3 linked regions of the Arabidopsis thaliana genome follow. The protein of the gene in region 1 purifies or fractionates together with the protein of each later gene. This does not show direct contact. Each region holds a gene or a part of one and is shown in the gene's direction. Other genes may lie near its edges.

Region 1 (4,322 bases):
ATATTGTCAGCGCTGTGTTCATCGCCACTGGCCAAGACCCAGCTCAAAACGTGGAGAGCTCACACTGTATGACCATGATTCTTCCCGATGGTGACGACCTTCACATCTCTGTTTCAATGCCTTGCATTGAGGTATAATGCATGTTCTATCTTGAAATTAAACCCATTATTGCAGAGAACACAAAGCCGTTAGTTTTTTGAATTATTGTTGGATCCAACTCATGAATGTTTTGTTTATTGATGTGACTCCAGGTTGGTACTGTTGGAGGTGGGACACAACTTGCATCACAAGCAGCTTGTTTGAATCTACTCGGTGTGAAAGGATCAAACAACGAGAAACCTGGCTCGAACGCACAGCAATTGGCAAGAATAGTGGCTGGTTCGGTTCTTGCAGGAGAGCTTTCACTAATGTCTGCTATTGCAGCTGGACAGCTTGTGAAGAGTCACATGAAATACAACAGATCCAGCAGAGACATTGGCCCTTCGTCTCAAGTCAACAGGTGATGTTTGGAGCACGATGAGACGGATAATAATAAAACAACAAAAACCCATAATTAGATTTGATGTAATTCTAACTTCATTTGATTTCTTCTTCATCGATCTCTTTTCTTTTCTATCTATTTTGTACTAAGTCTCCAAATTTTCTTAATTTATGTAAAGTCTTTTGTCCTTCCATCTTTATGGCTTATATTAATATCATAGCTTAGCATCAAAATGTGTAATTAAATTGCGGTTTAAGCTTTAAAGCCATGATTTTTTTTTCTAACATTGAATAGATTATTGTGGCAGTGTTTGCTTTGTGATGATTATGTACGTGACAGAGTTAGGTACTACTAATAAATGTAGAAATGTAGTTGTGAATATTGCAGACGATGGAGGAGTGATATGGTAGTTTGACAAATGAAGCATTTGAGGCAATGAAGTCTCTCCTCATGGCATGTGTGTGTATGGGTCTTTGATGATATCTTAGAAAGTAAGCAGTAGAGACTGTGCAGAGAGCTAAACCAACAATCATTATTGATTTTAAACCAAAGAGAGTAAGAGTTTTATTATTATTGATTTCTGATTACTTCTCTTACAATTGAAGTAATGAATTTTATGTTACGACAAATTTGATCATTTATATAGACGTAAAAATGTAAATTATTATGCATGCATAGTGACGCTGAGGCTCATACAAGTTATAATTTACTCTCAATATTTTCAGGTTGCACATCAATTGTTGATATTTTGTTTCCTCCTTTGTTCTAACTTTTACAACAATAATATCTCATTTTGAAAAATTGCCTAAACCTTTTAATAAAAAGTTGTGATTTTGTTGCAATTTTTAATCTGTAAAAATGCAATCCGATTAAGTCGGACCGTCAGATCAGTCCTCATCTTGTTTGTTTAACGGTCCAGATTTAAAACACTACCCCAGTAAATACAAAACCAACTGAAGAAAAATAAATAAAAAGTAAATTTTTAAAGAGTCCGACCCGGGTCCCTCAAAAAAAAAAAACTCCGACCCGGGACAAGATCCGTATCCAACAAACTTATATGTGTATCGGACACAGAAGAATACTTTCCACGATCATCAGCTTCTGGAGATCTCTTCTGGGAATCGAGCTTCACTGTTAAAGATTTTCCTTCAATCGGCTAAAAATGGTAACAATCGCCACTCCCTTTGCTTTTGGGCTTCTCTGTTATCTGTTCGAATTTTGGATCTGCCTTCGATCTTGTACTATTGCATCGAGTATCTACGATTTGATTTGATGATGAAATTGAATCTAATCCTCCGGTATCCGTAGATTTCTGCTTGGATCTGTCCGGTTCTTTTCTCGCTTACGAATTGATCGATTATTTAGGAAGTGAAAGGATTAGTTTGTTTCGTGAAGCTTGAAATTGTTATGTTTCTGTTGCCCATTCGAATCTCTTGTGAGTTATTAAATCCAATTCATTGTTTTTGAACCACTATTGCTCTTGAAGTAATTAAGCTTCTTGGATTCAAATGTAATAGGGTCTAAGCTAGTTCATGTACCTCACATCTCTTTATTTGCCTCTGTTTCTGAATTGGCAAAATAAGCTCGTTGATCTCTCCATCTTTCCATATCTTTAAATGGTTTAAAAACTTTTCTTGAGATGCTTGTGGCTTGCGTTTAGGTGTATGATGGTAAATGATTCTCAAGTTCTGGTACTTGATCTCTCACAATTCCCTCTTTTGCTTGCCTTATGCAATTATGTGCATTTCAAATCTTTATGAGTTGCCAGAAATCGTGATATATACTACTGGTTTTGTCTGGTCTTGTTTTAATTCTCTTTATCTCGATGCTGTCTTTGTGATTCTAGAATTTTCTCATGCTTGATATGGGTGAGGAGACGTCAAAAACTAATTAATGTGTTATGTATTGCCATTCACAATGATAGAATAATGCTTTCTTGAAAAGAAAAAAAAAAACTTCTAAGGTGGCTGTTTTGGGTTATGTTTGTATTTTCAGATACATTTCGTGTTACTAGTCAGTCGACAAGGGAAAGTAAGGCTCACCAAGTGGTATTCGCCGTATACGCAGAAGGAAAGATCTAAGGTATGTACAGCTTAAGTGTTATTGAGTTAATGCCGCATTATGCTTTGCATGCCTATTTAATCTTACATTTGGAAAAATGATCTGGACAGGTCATACGTGAACTCAGTGGAGTGATTCTGAACCGAGGTCCCAAGCTCTGCAATTTTATTGAATGGAGAGGATACAAGGTTGTCTACAAAAGGTAATAGACATATTTTATATAAGTAGCATGTATTTGCTACTTTAAAAACAATGGTTATAAACATGATGGTTTTGTAATTTTGCAGATATGCAAGCTTGTACTTCTGCATGTGCATTGATGAGGCGGATAACGAGTTAGAGGTACTGGAGATAATTCATCACTACGTCGAGATTCTTGACCGCTACTTTGGCAGTGTGAGTAAACGCTTATCCAAAATATACTCCTACCACTCTATCATAACCTTACAAAACATCTAGATTTTGATTAAGAGCTGTTTATTCTATGATCTTCAGGTGTGTGAACTCGATTTGATTTTTAACTTCCACAAGGTATACATACTCAACTCTATCAATGATTCTCTACTCTCTGTATTTTACTTCAATATGACAATTTTCGAATCTGGTTGTTTTGTTCTAGGCGTATTATATACTCGATGAGCTGTTGATCGCCGGAGAACTTCAAGAGTCAAGCAAGAAAACAGTTGCAAGGATAATATCAGCCCAGGTATGGTTTCTTAATCCTAATGCCCACTGAGACAAAAACGATTAGTCCGTAAGGGTTGTGTAAATGATGTTGTGTTATAATATTTGAAGGATCAATTGGTGGAAGTTGCGAAAGAGGAGGCGAGTTCCATAAGTAATATAATTGCTCAGGCTACCAAGTAGTCCTTTTCTGAACTTTTCTTATGCAGCTGAAACAATCGTAAATGAGTTAATATTTTCCTTAAACTCTGAGATATTCTCTTCTGAATCACACTTTTGTTTGTCATGTCATGTGATTGTTTGATTGATTAGAAGAAAGAAGCATTCATCGTTTTGGGTTTAAAAGTAGTGATTGATCTGCGAAATCATAAATGGTATACTATTTTTTCACATATGTTACGTTTTAAAACGTGGAATGCTGAAATTTCATCAAGTTCATCATCTCGAAATTATAATTTGTCCGATTGATTGAATAGAATTGGTTTTTGAGCCTGAGGACTGATGCACCAAACAACATGCCAGTGTCTCGTTCTTTCTTCTTCAACGTGCCTAATTTTGTAATTCGGGCGACCTAACCTCATTTTGTGTAACCGTGATCCGCCATGAGAGGAGGTATCCGCTCGAAGAGTTATCCTTTCTCCTCACAAAAGCAACGCCAATGTCCCTTTTCTCACTTTGCCCTGTTTGCTCCTTAGTACTTGTTTCACCAAAATAATCTATAGGATTTCAAATACATGAAGAATGTTTGATGGTAACACCAAAAATAGTGGAGAAGAAACAGACACTTATGGGCTTGGGCTCAAGGACTCGAAACTTGTATACCCAAACTTAAACGTGACTGCGTCTTGTTCTTACCAATCCAATAATTTATAGTAATGATAATAATTCATCTTTCCATATATAATTTTTTTTAATTATTGAAATTAAAAATGAGGGAAAGAATATCCGTTTTCTTTGCCACAAAAACATTTTCATTTGGGGGTTTTCATAATTTTTGGTTCTTCAGCTCCTCAAGCTTCGATAGGTATCGATCGTCTTCACCATACTTTTGGATTTTTTCTGATCACGTTTCAATTCCAATCTGAGAGATCTTCCT
Region 2 (5,895 bases), on another chromosome or scaffold:
ACAAATTTTACTAAAATTAATTGAGGGAAAACTCAAGAATGTGTGTGTGATCATTGAAGAAATGAAGAATGTGTGTTAGAGTGAGTGAATATTCAAAAGACTCAAATAGGTTTTTAATGAACAATAGGGAACCCGAGGAAACGCGTGACTCTAAGATATATGAATTTATTTTGCACTTATTACTTTTGATTAATTTTTATATTCTAACCCTTTTTTATATACTATTTTTTTCAGTGCAAGTAATGAATGAAGTAACGAGATGAGAGTCTAGTTTCAAAGTTTTGAATCTTTTTGGTCAATGTCGTCTCTATTTGTTGACCATATTATACGTTTGACTTTAACCCCATTTTTCTTTAATCTCATTCTTCTTCTTTGCTTCAATGGTTGACGAATTCTTACCGTAGAAGTTGCATCTAAATATACCAAAGATTAATACTGCGAAAATATGATAAAGAAGATTTTTTTTTTTTGTACTCTCTAGAAATTTGTAAACGATATTATTAGTGTTTGATTAAAGACTCCAATTTTTAACATAATGTCTATATCCACATAATGAATTTGTGTCTCTACTATATGTAGTGTTCCCGTCATATATGCATTTTTGCGATAGTCAATCGGATCTTTGTATTGCGGTTAATTGATCTGGTCTTTCTTGAGCGTACAAAATAAATAGAATTGTACGTATTATTAGAGATGGTTACATTTGGTTTACATTATTAGTTAAAGTTAACCAATAATGTAAACCAATAAAGTTAACCAATAATGTAAACCAAATGTAACTATCTCTAATACGTATGTTGACTATGATGTACTTCAAGACAAGTTCATCATCACTTAACGTAACTAACACTATATTAGTTAAGTTCAAGACTTATTGCCCATGATTCATTTGTAAACTATGAAGTAACATATCTCTGATTTTTTCCTCTTATGTTTGATAAATTAGTCATTATAATTAGTGTCTTGCCAAAAAGTACACTTCTATCTTATTAGCATTCTACATTACAAACTATTAATTTCACTACGTATAGCGGTATAGGGAGAAGATCAATAAGGCGATCACAATATTAGTTAAGTTCCGAGTCTTGCATTACCATTGTCCTATGAATCACAGAACAAGAGGACGCATATATATATAGTATTTATAAAAGACTAAGATAGTCACAGAACAAGAGGACGCATATATAATTGACAAATACTCAAAACATGTGAAAAGATAAGGGCTATTACGTCTTCATTAAGATCCCATAATCTTTATGATGAGAACTTAAGAGCCAAACTAGCTATGTAACAAAATATCAAGTTTGAAAGTAATAAACTGCTTGAATAAGCTTCAAGTTCACTACATGGTTTAGAAAGGTTTAAAATCTATTACTTTCAAACGCTTTTATTGTGTACCAATCAATCCAACAAAGTATGCAATCGTACTAATCAATCCAACAAAGTATACACTCACACCGGTAACATCAAAAATTCAAAAATTCAAAATTTCATGTTACCAATCAATCCAACAAAATATACAATCCCTGAGACCGAGTTATAATTTGTTGGAATGATTGGTACCAGTGAAATTGTGTTGTCGTGTGAACATCAACACATAGGAGGTAATATACGTAAATATGCTAGCAATCAAGCTAAGTATACAAAACACTTCATGTTGCAGTGTTCTATTGAAATTTTATATATCGAACTAGAATACTATCATGGAGAATGATCAAATGTTGCATATCTTCATATCCACGAAAAATGAGTACACAAACATTCGATCATACCCCATGACAGTTTTCTAGTTTATACTTGATAGTCCTCACGATTTCATGGTGGTGACACTACACAAACCCTAGATTCCCCTAAAGTTTTTGTGAAAAACGCATATGTTCGATTTTAGGTTTTACTTCTATCCTTGATTCATTACAAACCTATTTTTATACTAATTCGTCGTTAACCTAATAATTTTAACCTACGAAACCCAACCTATATGGGCCTGACTTTATGTAATGATCCAATGGGCCTTTCTTCTTCAATGATGACTTTCTTCATTGACTCTCCTTCTACTTTCGATGGTATTAAATTTGACGGAAAAAGTAAAACGATACCGTCTGGGTGAAAGGCAGAGCTCTTTGCTTCTGAATATTATTATTTTCTTAAATTCTTCCGTTTTTTTTTTTAATCCAACCACAAGGATCGATAACGAAATCATCAGATCGCCAGAAAAAAAAAAAAAATTGCGAAATGGAGAATCTGAGCTGCAGATCTGCGTCAATCTCCATCTAGATGTTGTTGCTACTTCTTCCTCTATAGAACCATAATTTCATCAGATCTCGCTGATTAATCATCCCCATTTGGATCTGATCGAAACTCTTAGGGAAGAACATGGCAGGAGCTGCCTCCGCGCTGTTTCTGCTTGATATCAAGGGACGCGTTCTCGTCTGGCGTGATTATCGTGGCGATGTCTCCGCTGCTCAAGCCGAGCGATTCTTCACTAAGCTCATCGAGAAAGAGGTTGTTCTGATCTTCCTCTTATCGCTAATTGGTCTTTGTTTATTGCTTGGTTACTGTAGAATTTTCAGAGAAACATAGAGTTAGCGAACGAACTTGTAGATTTGTGTTTGAAAGATTCGTCAATTGGAATTGAAACATTTCGAAGATAATGGATTCGTGTCCATTTTCATCTGCACTGGAAATGAATTTTGAAGATAATGGATTCGTATCAGTCTTTGTGATCTGATGCCGCTGAAATTTTTTGGAAGTAATGAACAAGTTTGATCATTGGTTAAATGTTTTGGATTAGAATTTGATTTGAATCTGTACTTTTGAAGCATTCTGGTTTAAATCAGAGTAATCATCGTTTTGTTTAATTGTTCAGGGTGATTCACAGTCAAATGATCCAGTTGCTTACGATAATGGGGTGACTTATATGTTTGTACAACATAGTAATGTATACTTGATGATAGCATCCAGGCAGAATTGTAATGCTGCCAGTCTTCTCTTCTTTCTTCACCGCGTTGTCGATGTAAGTATGGCTGGTCAATTCTTTAGTTTTTCTCTTAAGGTTCCATCTTTTTCCTGGATATTTGATGTAATGGCAATGGTATCTGTTATCTGGTTATAGGTTTTCAAGCATTACTTCGAGGAGTTAGAAGAGGAATCATTGAGGGATAACTTTGTGGTAGTGGTATGTTAAGCTTCTGTCATCGCTCTTTTAGTACTATTTCGCAATATATTTTTCTATTACTTGGGCAATCAAAAAGATCCTTAAAATTTTGGAAAAGTATTTGTCATTGTTAGATGCTGAAATTGATTTTTTGGTGCTGGCAGTATGAGCTACTTGACGAGATGATGGACTTTGGTTACCCTCAGTATACCGAAGCAAGAATTCTCAGTGAATTCATCAAGACTGATGCATATAGAATGGAAGTTACACAGAGACCTCCAATGGCTGTGACGAATGCTGTCTCCTGGAGGAGTGAGGGAATACAGTACAAGAAGAATGAAGTGAGTGCCATTGTTTTCGCAAGATAGGAATATGTTTCTGATGTTTCGGTTTGCAAATAATGACAACCTGCTTCTTTTTCCAGGTTTTCTTGGATGTTATTGAGAATGTAAATATTCTTGTCAACAGTAATGGGCAAATTGTCAGGTCTGATGTTGTTGGAGCGCTGAAGATGCGAACTTACTTGACGTATGTCAACACATCAAATTTACGATATAGTTCCTAATCAGCCAAAGCATGTTAAATCACGTCCCTTTTTGACTATTTTGCTCTTTGATCCATTCTATTGCAGTGGAATGCCAGAGTGTAAGTTAGGACTGAATGATAGAGTATTGCTGGAAGCGCAGGGACGAGCAACTAAGGGAAAAGCCATTGATTTGGAGGACATCAAATTTCATCAGTACGTCTTTAAGTTTTTATTATATTGAAACTTGGAAAGTCTTCACTGATCTTAACCCTTCTATTTTCTTTTTGTTCAAAAAGATTATATACTTGAGTTTTATGTATTCTCTTCTTCAACAACCATTTATTTAATGCAGGTGTGTTCGATTGGCCCGTTTTGAAAACGATAGGACGATATCTTTCATACCACCTGATGGGGCTTTTGATCTGATGACATATAGACTCAGCACTCAGGTTTGACATGTGGGATATAGCATCTACTGGAATTGTTCCACGTCTTCAACAAGTAAATATCATGATTTGTTTCTTTTATGTTCAGGTAAAGCCACTTATATGGGTGGAAGCACAAATAGAAAGTCATTCAAGAAGTCGTGTTGAGATGCTCATAAAAGCTAGAAGTCAGTTCAAGGAACGAAGGTAAATATATTCTATGGTATTTGTGCCACTTTCCTTTTCTGTCTTACTGTCATGCAAAGATCCTGATTGATCAGATTCTTTAAACCTTTGATCACGAACATTCTTTTTGTAGCACCGCAACGAACGTTGAGATTGAGTTGCCTGTACCAACCGATGCATCTAACCCCACCGTTAGGACATCTCTAGGGTCTGCCTCTTATGCTCCTGAAAAAGATGCGTTAGTCTGGAAAATCAAATCTTTCCCGGGGAACAAGGTATAACACTAACAAGGTTCAATAAACTCTTAAATTCAGTTGAAACAGTCAGCAATGTAGACTATGTAGTATCAATGCTAACCTTCAGAAAACCAATATAGGAGTACATGTTAAGGGCAGAGTTCCATCTTCCAAGTATCACTGCAGAGGAAGCAACTCCTGAGCGAAAGGCTCCTATCCGTGTCAAATTTGAGATCCCTTATTTCACTGTTTCAGGGATTCAGGTAAGCTTGTGCTTAATAATAAATGGTTACTGTCTCTTCCACAATGTCATATATATAATATATATGTTCTTTGGTGTGTAGGTTCGGTACCTAAAGATTATTGAGAAGAGTGGGTACCAAGCACTTCCATGGGTGAGATACATAACCATGGCTGGTGAGTACGAACTAAGACTCGTGTAATGCACATTTAGTTTCATCGTCTATGTCAATTGTGATTCCCACATCCCTCAAGGAATTGCCTGAATCAAAGAAGCAAAACGAAACAGGACAAAAGTAGAGGGAAAAGAAAACGTTTTGAAACATTTTAGCTGATCAAATTTTCCTTTAATTTGTTTTAGAAGCCATATTCTTGTGAATTTGTCTTTATGGTGATTCTATTTTATTTTACATGAGGCTCTCTGTAACCTTTCACGACATGGTTCATTATTTTCCTTTAGACTGCTACATTTCTGTCTATGTGTTCGTTCTGCGATCAAAATTGTTAAACGTTGAGGTTTTGGTTTTGTTTTTTGGGGCATTCGTCTATGTTTACATAGGTTTCTCTCGAGTTATGATCAAAATGAAACTACATAAACAAATTATGCTTCAATAGAGTGAGGTGAGAGAGCCTTACAATAGAGAGAACGTATATTTTGGTGTTTCTCATATTGTTTAACTGATATAGTATGGGCCGAAATGAAATAATCGTCAGGCCCATTAAAAAGCCCATAATCACCATACTTTCTCCTCCAATTCTGTTTCGAGCTTGGGAAGTGACAGTGAATTAGGGTTTTACTCAAAAAACCTTCTCGTTGTCGTTGTTTACTGCTCCGACGAGAAAATGGCGATGCGACATTTGAGCCGATCGAGAGACGTTACAAAGAGATCGACAAAGAAGTACATCGAAGAACCTCTGTACAATCGCCTCTTCAAAGATGGTGGTACAGAGGTCAAAGTTCGACAGCAGCTTAATCAGTTCCTCAAAGGCACTAAACACGTCTTCAAATGGGAGGTCGGCGATACGATCAAGAAACTCCGAAATCGCGGCCTCTATTACCCAGCTCTCAAGGTTTCATAAATCCAAATTGCATTTTCGATTCTCTAGGATTAGCTTCACAATAAGCAT
Region 3 (5,251 bases), on another chromosome or scaffold:
GATCGCTGCGGTTGCTCTTACAGACGAAGTGCTAGCATTTGCGAGGAACATAGCAATGCATCCAGAAACTTGGTTGGATTTTCCTCTTGATCCTGACGAAGATCTTGATGGTAACGTATACATTGAGTCAAGTCTTTCGCTATTAGTCTTCATTGATTTGACTTATAGGCATATCAAAAGTTTGATTATTTCAACTTTTATCTAATGTAGATTTGGAAATGAGTGATGCTCAAAGAGGTCATGCTTTAGCTATTGAGCGTCTTGCTCCGAGGTTAGCTGCATTGAGAATAGAGCTTTGTCCATGTCATATGAGTGTTGGTTACTTCTGGAAAGTCTATTTTGTTCTTCTTCTTTCAAGGCTCAATAAACACGATGCTCATCTTTTGTCTTCTCCACAGGTTAAAAAAACCTGAATCTCAATCTCTTCTTGAGTCAAAATGATTCTTTGTTGTTGCTGTTGTTTATTCAACAAAATCCTTTTGCTTTTGCAGGTGATGGAAGCTAGAGCATTGTGGATGAAAGAGCTTCAGAATCAGACACATTCTTCAAAAGAAAGTAGAGATATGATTCTTGAGGAAGAAGATATTACACCATCAACTTCTAATTACTACAACCATGCTCCTCCTGAGTTTCTTTCTCCAAGAATATATGCTTTTGAACCTCCTTCGATTATGTATCGCGATTTTGAACACGGGTTTGAAAACGCTCAGTTCATCGATAAAGCTGTTATTGAGGAAAAACCAATCCAGAAGAACGACAAAAATAGTGCAAGCCTTAGCCAAACATCTAAAGATGTTGTTGATGATGATGATGATGATTGGCCAGAAGAAGAAGATTCTGCTAATTCTTGGGCTCCAATGTTTACAGTGAATGAGGATGATGTTTCTTTCAGTGATCTTGAAGGAGACGACGATATAAGTAGCTTAGCACTCAAGTCTAAGATTACATCAAAGGGCACAGACCAAAAAGGAACATGAAACATCATCTGGCTTGTTGCTTTGCCCTGCCTCACGAGATCGAATCAATAGAATTGAACATAAGTACTGTGTGCTGAGTCAAATCGTGGAAGTCTTTTGGGTGAGTTTGATTGTTTTGTGGATTTATGATGTTTGCTCTCAAAGAGAAGGAAGAAAGAAAGAAAAAGGTTTTGATTGAAACATGTACAGAAGATTTACTTTGACACTGCAATTTCATTGTAATGTTCTCTCTCGCCAAATGTAATGAAATATTGAAAAGCACTATTTCATTCGCGTGGAACTTAAAAGAAATTGATAGAGAATGGCGCAAGTGAATTCAAGTGTAACAAACTGTTAGAATCATTATTGGATTGGAAAATCATATGGGATTTTATTGCTTATGTTGAGGATTTGTATGTATGAAAATGGGAACAACCAGGAGGAGCTATCATCAATTAACAAAATAACTCCTATGACTTAACTAAAAAACAAATCTATGTTGAAATGTATAACATTTGTCAAAATGCTAGTACTTTGTTAATAATTAAGGGGTGTTATTGGTTTGTGATTTATATAGAGTTTTAGTGATTTAAAAATATTATATAGAATCTGATGTTATTCAATTCAAATTTTCATTTTTTTTTTTTAATTTGGTATTATTAGTTTAAGATTTATAAAAATTAATCTAAAATCTTCGTAAGTAAGATTGCTTCCCTAATACAGAGAAAGAAAGAAAAACCAAGTAAGATTGGTAATACGATGTCGTTTCGCAGAATAATGCAAAGCTGAACCCAATTTAATAAGCTGCACTTTTCTTTCTTTCTCGAGTCTCCCGTCGTTTTTTATGTCAGAACCAATTCGTCAGGTCGTGAATAAGTGACTTTATCGACGAACCACCACTCAGCTGCAGCAAATGATCGTTTAGCTCCGGCGAAGCGTAAAATTCTTCAGATCTCTCTGGAATTAATAATCCGTCTGTTTGATCGATCTGATTCGGCAAATCCTTGAGAAAACAAGGAGGGAAGAAGAAGAAGAACATGGCAGGGGCGGCCTCAGCGCTGTTTCTGCTCGATATCAAAGGTCGTGTTCTCGTGTGGCGCGATTACCGTGGCGATGTCACCGCTGCTCAAGCTGAGCGTTTCTTCACCAAACTCATCGAGACAGAGGTGAAGTTTTAACATTTGGAACTAATGAACAAGCTTGATCAGTGCTTAAAAGGATTCAATTTGATCAGAATCGTTATACTTATGACTAAATGACTAGTGTTTTCTCTGCGGGTTTGCTTACTTTCGTCTAATATGTTCAGGGTGATTCACAGTCAAATGATCCGGTTGCTTATGATAATGGCGTGACCTACATGTTTGTACAGCATAGTAACATTTACCTCATGATAGCGTCCAGACAGAACTGTAATGCTGCCAGTCTTCTCTTCTTCTTGCATCGTGTAGTCGATGTAAGCATCCCTAGTGATTCAGTTTTTTGCATTTCCATCTGTTTTCTGAATTTGAAGAAAAAAGAACGGCACTGTTTCATATGTTACAGTCTTATACTGATCGTAGGTCTTCAAGCATTACTTCGAGGAGTTAGAGGAAGAATCTTTGAGAGATAACTTTGTGGTAGTGGTAAGATAATGCTTCTCACATCTCTTCTTATAACTGTTTTCCCTCTTGCATGAGGTGGATATGTGTGGGCGAAAGTTATTTCTAAAAACATTTACTTATGTTACTGGCAGTATGAGTTACTTGACGAGATGATGGACTTTGGTTACCCTCAGTTTACTGAGGCAAGAATCCTTAGTGAATTCATCAAGACTGATGCATATAGAATGGAAGTTACACAGAGACCTCCAATGGCTGTCACTAATTCTGTCTCATGGAGGAGTGAGGGGTTAAAGTTTAAGAAAAACGAAGTAGGTGCTCAACATTTTACTTTTCAATTGTTTTAGGTTTTCTAATGTTTGCAGACTGATGTTTTGTTTTCCAGGTTTTCTTGGATGTGATAGAGAGTGTAAATATCCTTGTGAACAGTAATGGGCAAATTGTCAGGTCTGATGTCGTTGGAGCTTTGAAGATGCGAACATACTTGAGGTGCGTTCTCTAGTGTCCCTAGTTAACCAACGCATTTAAAATCAAAAGTCCCTCCTCTTTGACTCTCTGCTTCTTTATCCATGTTATTACAGTGGAATGCCAGAGTGTAAGCTAGGCTTGAATGACAGAATATTGTTGGAGGCACAGGGACGAGCAATAAAAGGAAAAGCCATTGATTTGGAGGACATCAAATTTCATCAGTACGTTAATCTCTTGCAACTTTAAACATTCTTTGACAGTCACTCTATCGAGGCCAATTTTTTTACTAACTCGAAAAATTATTGAATACTTGAGTTTTTACACGTCTCTTTCTTCAAAATGTAGGTGTGTTCGATTAGCCCGTTTTGAGAACGACAGGACAATATCATTCATACCACCTGATGGATCTTTTGATCTTATGACGTATAGACTCAGTACTCAGGTTTTAGAATGTGTAATATTGCAGAAATGGTTTTGTCCCCTTCTTAAACGAATTATATCATGATATATCTTATTTTCGCATAATACTTGTTCAGGTAAAGCCTCTTATATGGGTGGAAGCGCATATAGAGAGGCATTCCAGAAGTCGTGTTGAGATGCTAGTAAAAGCTAGAAGCCAATTCAAGGACAGAAGGTAAGTAACAAATGTTACTTAACACGTTTAACCATTACCTGAAATACTGAAATACTGGAATCCTTTAACGCGTTTTGATAAGAGTTCCTTTTTTCTGCAGCTATGCAACAAGTGTTGAGATTGAGTTACCTGTACCAACTGATGCGTATAACCCCGATGTAAGAACATCTCTCGGGTCGGCCGCATATGCTCCTGAGAAAGATGCACTGGTCTGGAAGATACAATATTTCTATGGGAACAAGGTAAGTTCTTATAGTTTAATGTAACACTTGACCATGTAAAGTCGAATGCTTACATTAAGTTTTGAAACAATGTAGGAGCATACATTGAAAGCAGATTTCCATCTTCCAAGTATAGCCGCAGAGGAAGCAACGCCTGAGCGAAAAGCTCCAATCCGTGTCAAATTTGAGATCCCAAAATTCATAGTTTCAGGAATACAGGTTGGTATTACTCACAATGATACGTTATTATCATATAGATCACATTCTTTTTATATTACTGCATTGAAATCTGAAGGCAAACAAACCTGATGTGTGTTAATTATGGGTATTGCAGGTTCGATACCTGAAGATCATTGAGAAGAGTGGGTACCAGGCACATCCATGGGTGAGATATATAACCATGGCTGGTGAGTACGAACTGAGACTCATGTAAAATGAGATCGTTTTTTTGTTTTTACTATTATTTAAGCCATTGTCAACGACACAAAGCAGAGGAAGATCAATGAGAAAAGGAAAAAGATTGAAATATATTAGCTGATAGAATTTGCGGTGAAGGTTGTTTTAGAAGCCATTTTCTTGTGAATTGTTTCATGGCGTTCTCTTTTTTTTTTTTTTTTTTCTGTAAAACTATATACGACAGTTATATATATATTGGGTTACAATTGTTAAACATCGAGTTTTATTTGGGGTTCTTTCAGTTCGTTTACCGATGGAAAATGCATGCAGTCTGGGTGACTACACCAATAATGGTTTTCCTTAAACGTCCGCTAATTTTGTAAGAGTTCACTATATAAATAACTTTGATGAGGCAGTAGAGCAACATGACGAACTAACAAATATTATAATTTTCAAAATGGAAGATATATATTTTACAGTACAACAAATCGAGAGGAGAACAAGAAGAACAATGAATAATCTGTATTAGTAGTAAATAGCCTAAACAAAAACTTAAGCCCTCAACGTAACAACCCTAAAACATTTTTTTTTTGCATGTGATCAATGTACAAAGTTGTTTATTCTGGGTGATGATGATGAACGAGGAGAAGAAGGAGATTGATTGGGGAGAGTCTGAGGAATCTTTCTAAAAACATGTTTCCTGCAACGTTGGAAGATGCTGTCGTATATCAGATCAAACTGAACACCAGCTCTCTCTCTGTTCACTATGAACATTATGTGATCTGCTTCCACTATCTTATAATACCTGCAACAACAAGGTATTCAGATTTTCTCAATCCATCAACGTCATTAGGTCATATATGATTCACTTACCAGATCCCGGGTTGTAATGTTTGACATTCCGAATCGCTCCTTATGAACCGGCTCGGATGCTCAACAGGTAGCCTCGGATGTGTCATTGATATTGTGTTCAATGCC

Evidence for each region.
Region 2: the proteins of AP19 (region 1) and HAP13 fractionate together in Arabidopsis thaliana (co-fractionation; one large-scale study listed by BioGRID). This does not show direct contact.
Region 3: the proteins of AP19 (region 1) and AT1G10730 fractionate together in Arabidopsis thaliana (co-fractionation; one large-scale study listed by BioGRID). This does not show direct contact.

Annotation. Positions count from the first base shown.
Region 1 is NC_003071.7:7,551,479-7,555,800, forward strand, and holds AP19 (associated protein 19), read left to right. Parts: upstream 1-1,513; 5' UTR 1,514-1,643; coding exon 1,644-1,646; intron 1,647-2,476; coding exon 2,477-2,563; intron 2,564-2,652; coding exon 2,653-2,744; intron 2,745-2,829; coding exon 2,830-2,938; intron 2,939-3,037; coding exon 3,038-3,073; intron 3,074-3,161; coding exon 3,162-3,248; intron 3,249-3,337; coding exon 3,338-3,409; 3' UTR 3,410-3,685; downstream 3,686-4,322. Other genes in the region: HMG2 (3-hydroxy-3-methylglutaryl-CoA reductase 2), read left to right, coding at 1-131, 252-503. UniProt on the Arabidopsis thaliana protein: Subunit of clathrin-associated adaptor protein complex 1 that plays a role in protein sorting at the trans-Golgi network and early endosomes (TGN/EE).
Region 2 is NC_003070.9:22,368,364-22,374,258, reverse strand, and holds HAP13 (Clathrin adaptor complexes medium subunit family protein), read left to right. Parts: upstream 1-2,035; 5' UTR 2,036-2,373; coding exon 2,374-2,502; intron 2,503-2,866; coding exon 2,867-3,013; intron 3,014-3,112; coding exon 3,113-3,175; intron 3,176-3,318; coding exon 3,319-3,495; intron 3,496-3,578; coding exon 3,579-3,682; intron 3,683-3,785; coding exon 3,786-3,893; intron 3,894-4,032; coding exon 4,033-4,129; intron 4,130-4,214; coding exon 4,215-4,312; intron 4,313-4,424; coding exon 4,425-4,566; intron 4,567-4,667; coding exon 4,668-4,790; intron 4,791-4,871; coding exon 4,872-4,970; 3' UTR 4,971-5,306; downstream 5,307-5,895. Other genes in the region: AT1G60770 (Tetratricopeptide repeat (TPR)-like superfamily protein), read left to right, coding at 5,611-5,838. UniProt on the Arabidopsis thaliana protein: Subunit of clathrin-associated adaptor protein complex 1 that plays a role in protein sorting at the trans-Golgi network and early endosomes (TGN/EE).
Region 3 is NC_003070.9:3,563,470-3,568,720, forward strand, and holds AT1G10730 (Clathrin adaptor complexes medium subunit family protein), read left to right. Parts: upstream 1-1,787; 5' UTR 1,788-1,993; coding exon 1,994-2,122; intron 2,123-2,262; coding exon 2,263-2,409; intron 2,410-2,515; coding exon 2,516-2,578; intron 2,579-2,688; coding exon 2,689-2,865; intron 2,866-2,939; coding exon 2,940-3,043; intron 3,044-3,135; coding exon 3,136-3,243; intron 3,244-3,367; coding exon 3,368-3,464; intron 3,465-3,558; coding exon 3,559-3,656; intron 3,657-3,756; coding exon 3,757-3,898; intron 3,899-3,973; coding exon 3,974-4,096; intron 4,097-4,211; coding exon 4,212-4,310; 3' UTR 4,311-4,637; downstream 4,638-5,251. Other genes in the region: AT1G10720 (BSD domain-containing protein), read left to right, coding at 1-110, 211-398, 492-977; AT1G10740 (alpha/beta-Hydrolases superfamily protein), read right to left, coding at 4,874-5,078, 5,147-5,251. UniProt on the Arabidopsis thaliana protein: Subunit of clathrin-associated adaptor protein complex 1 that plays a role in protein sorting at the trans-Golgi network and early endosomes (TGN/EE).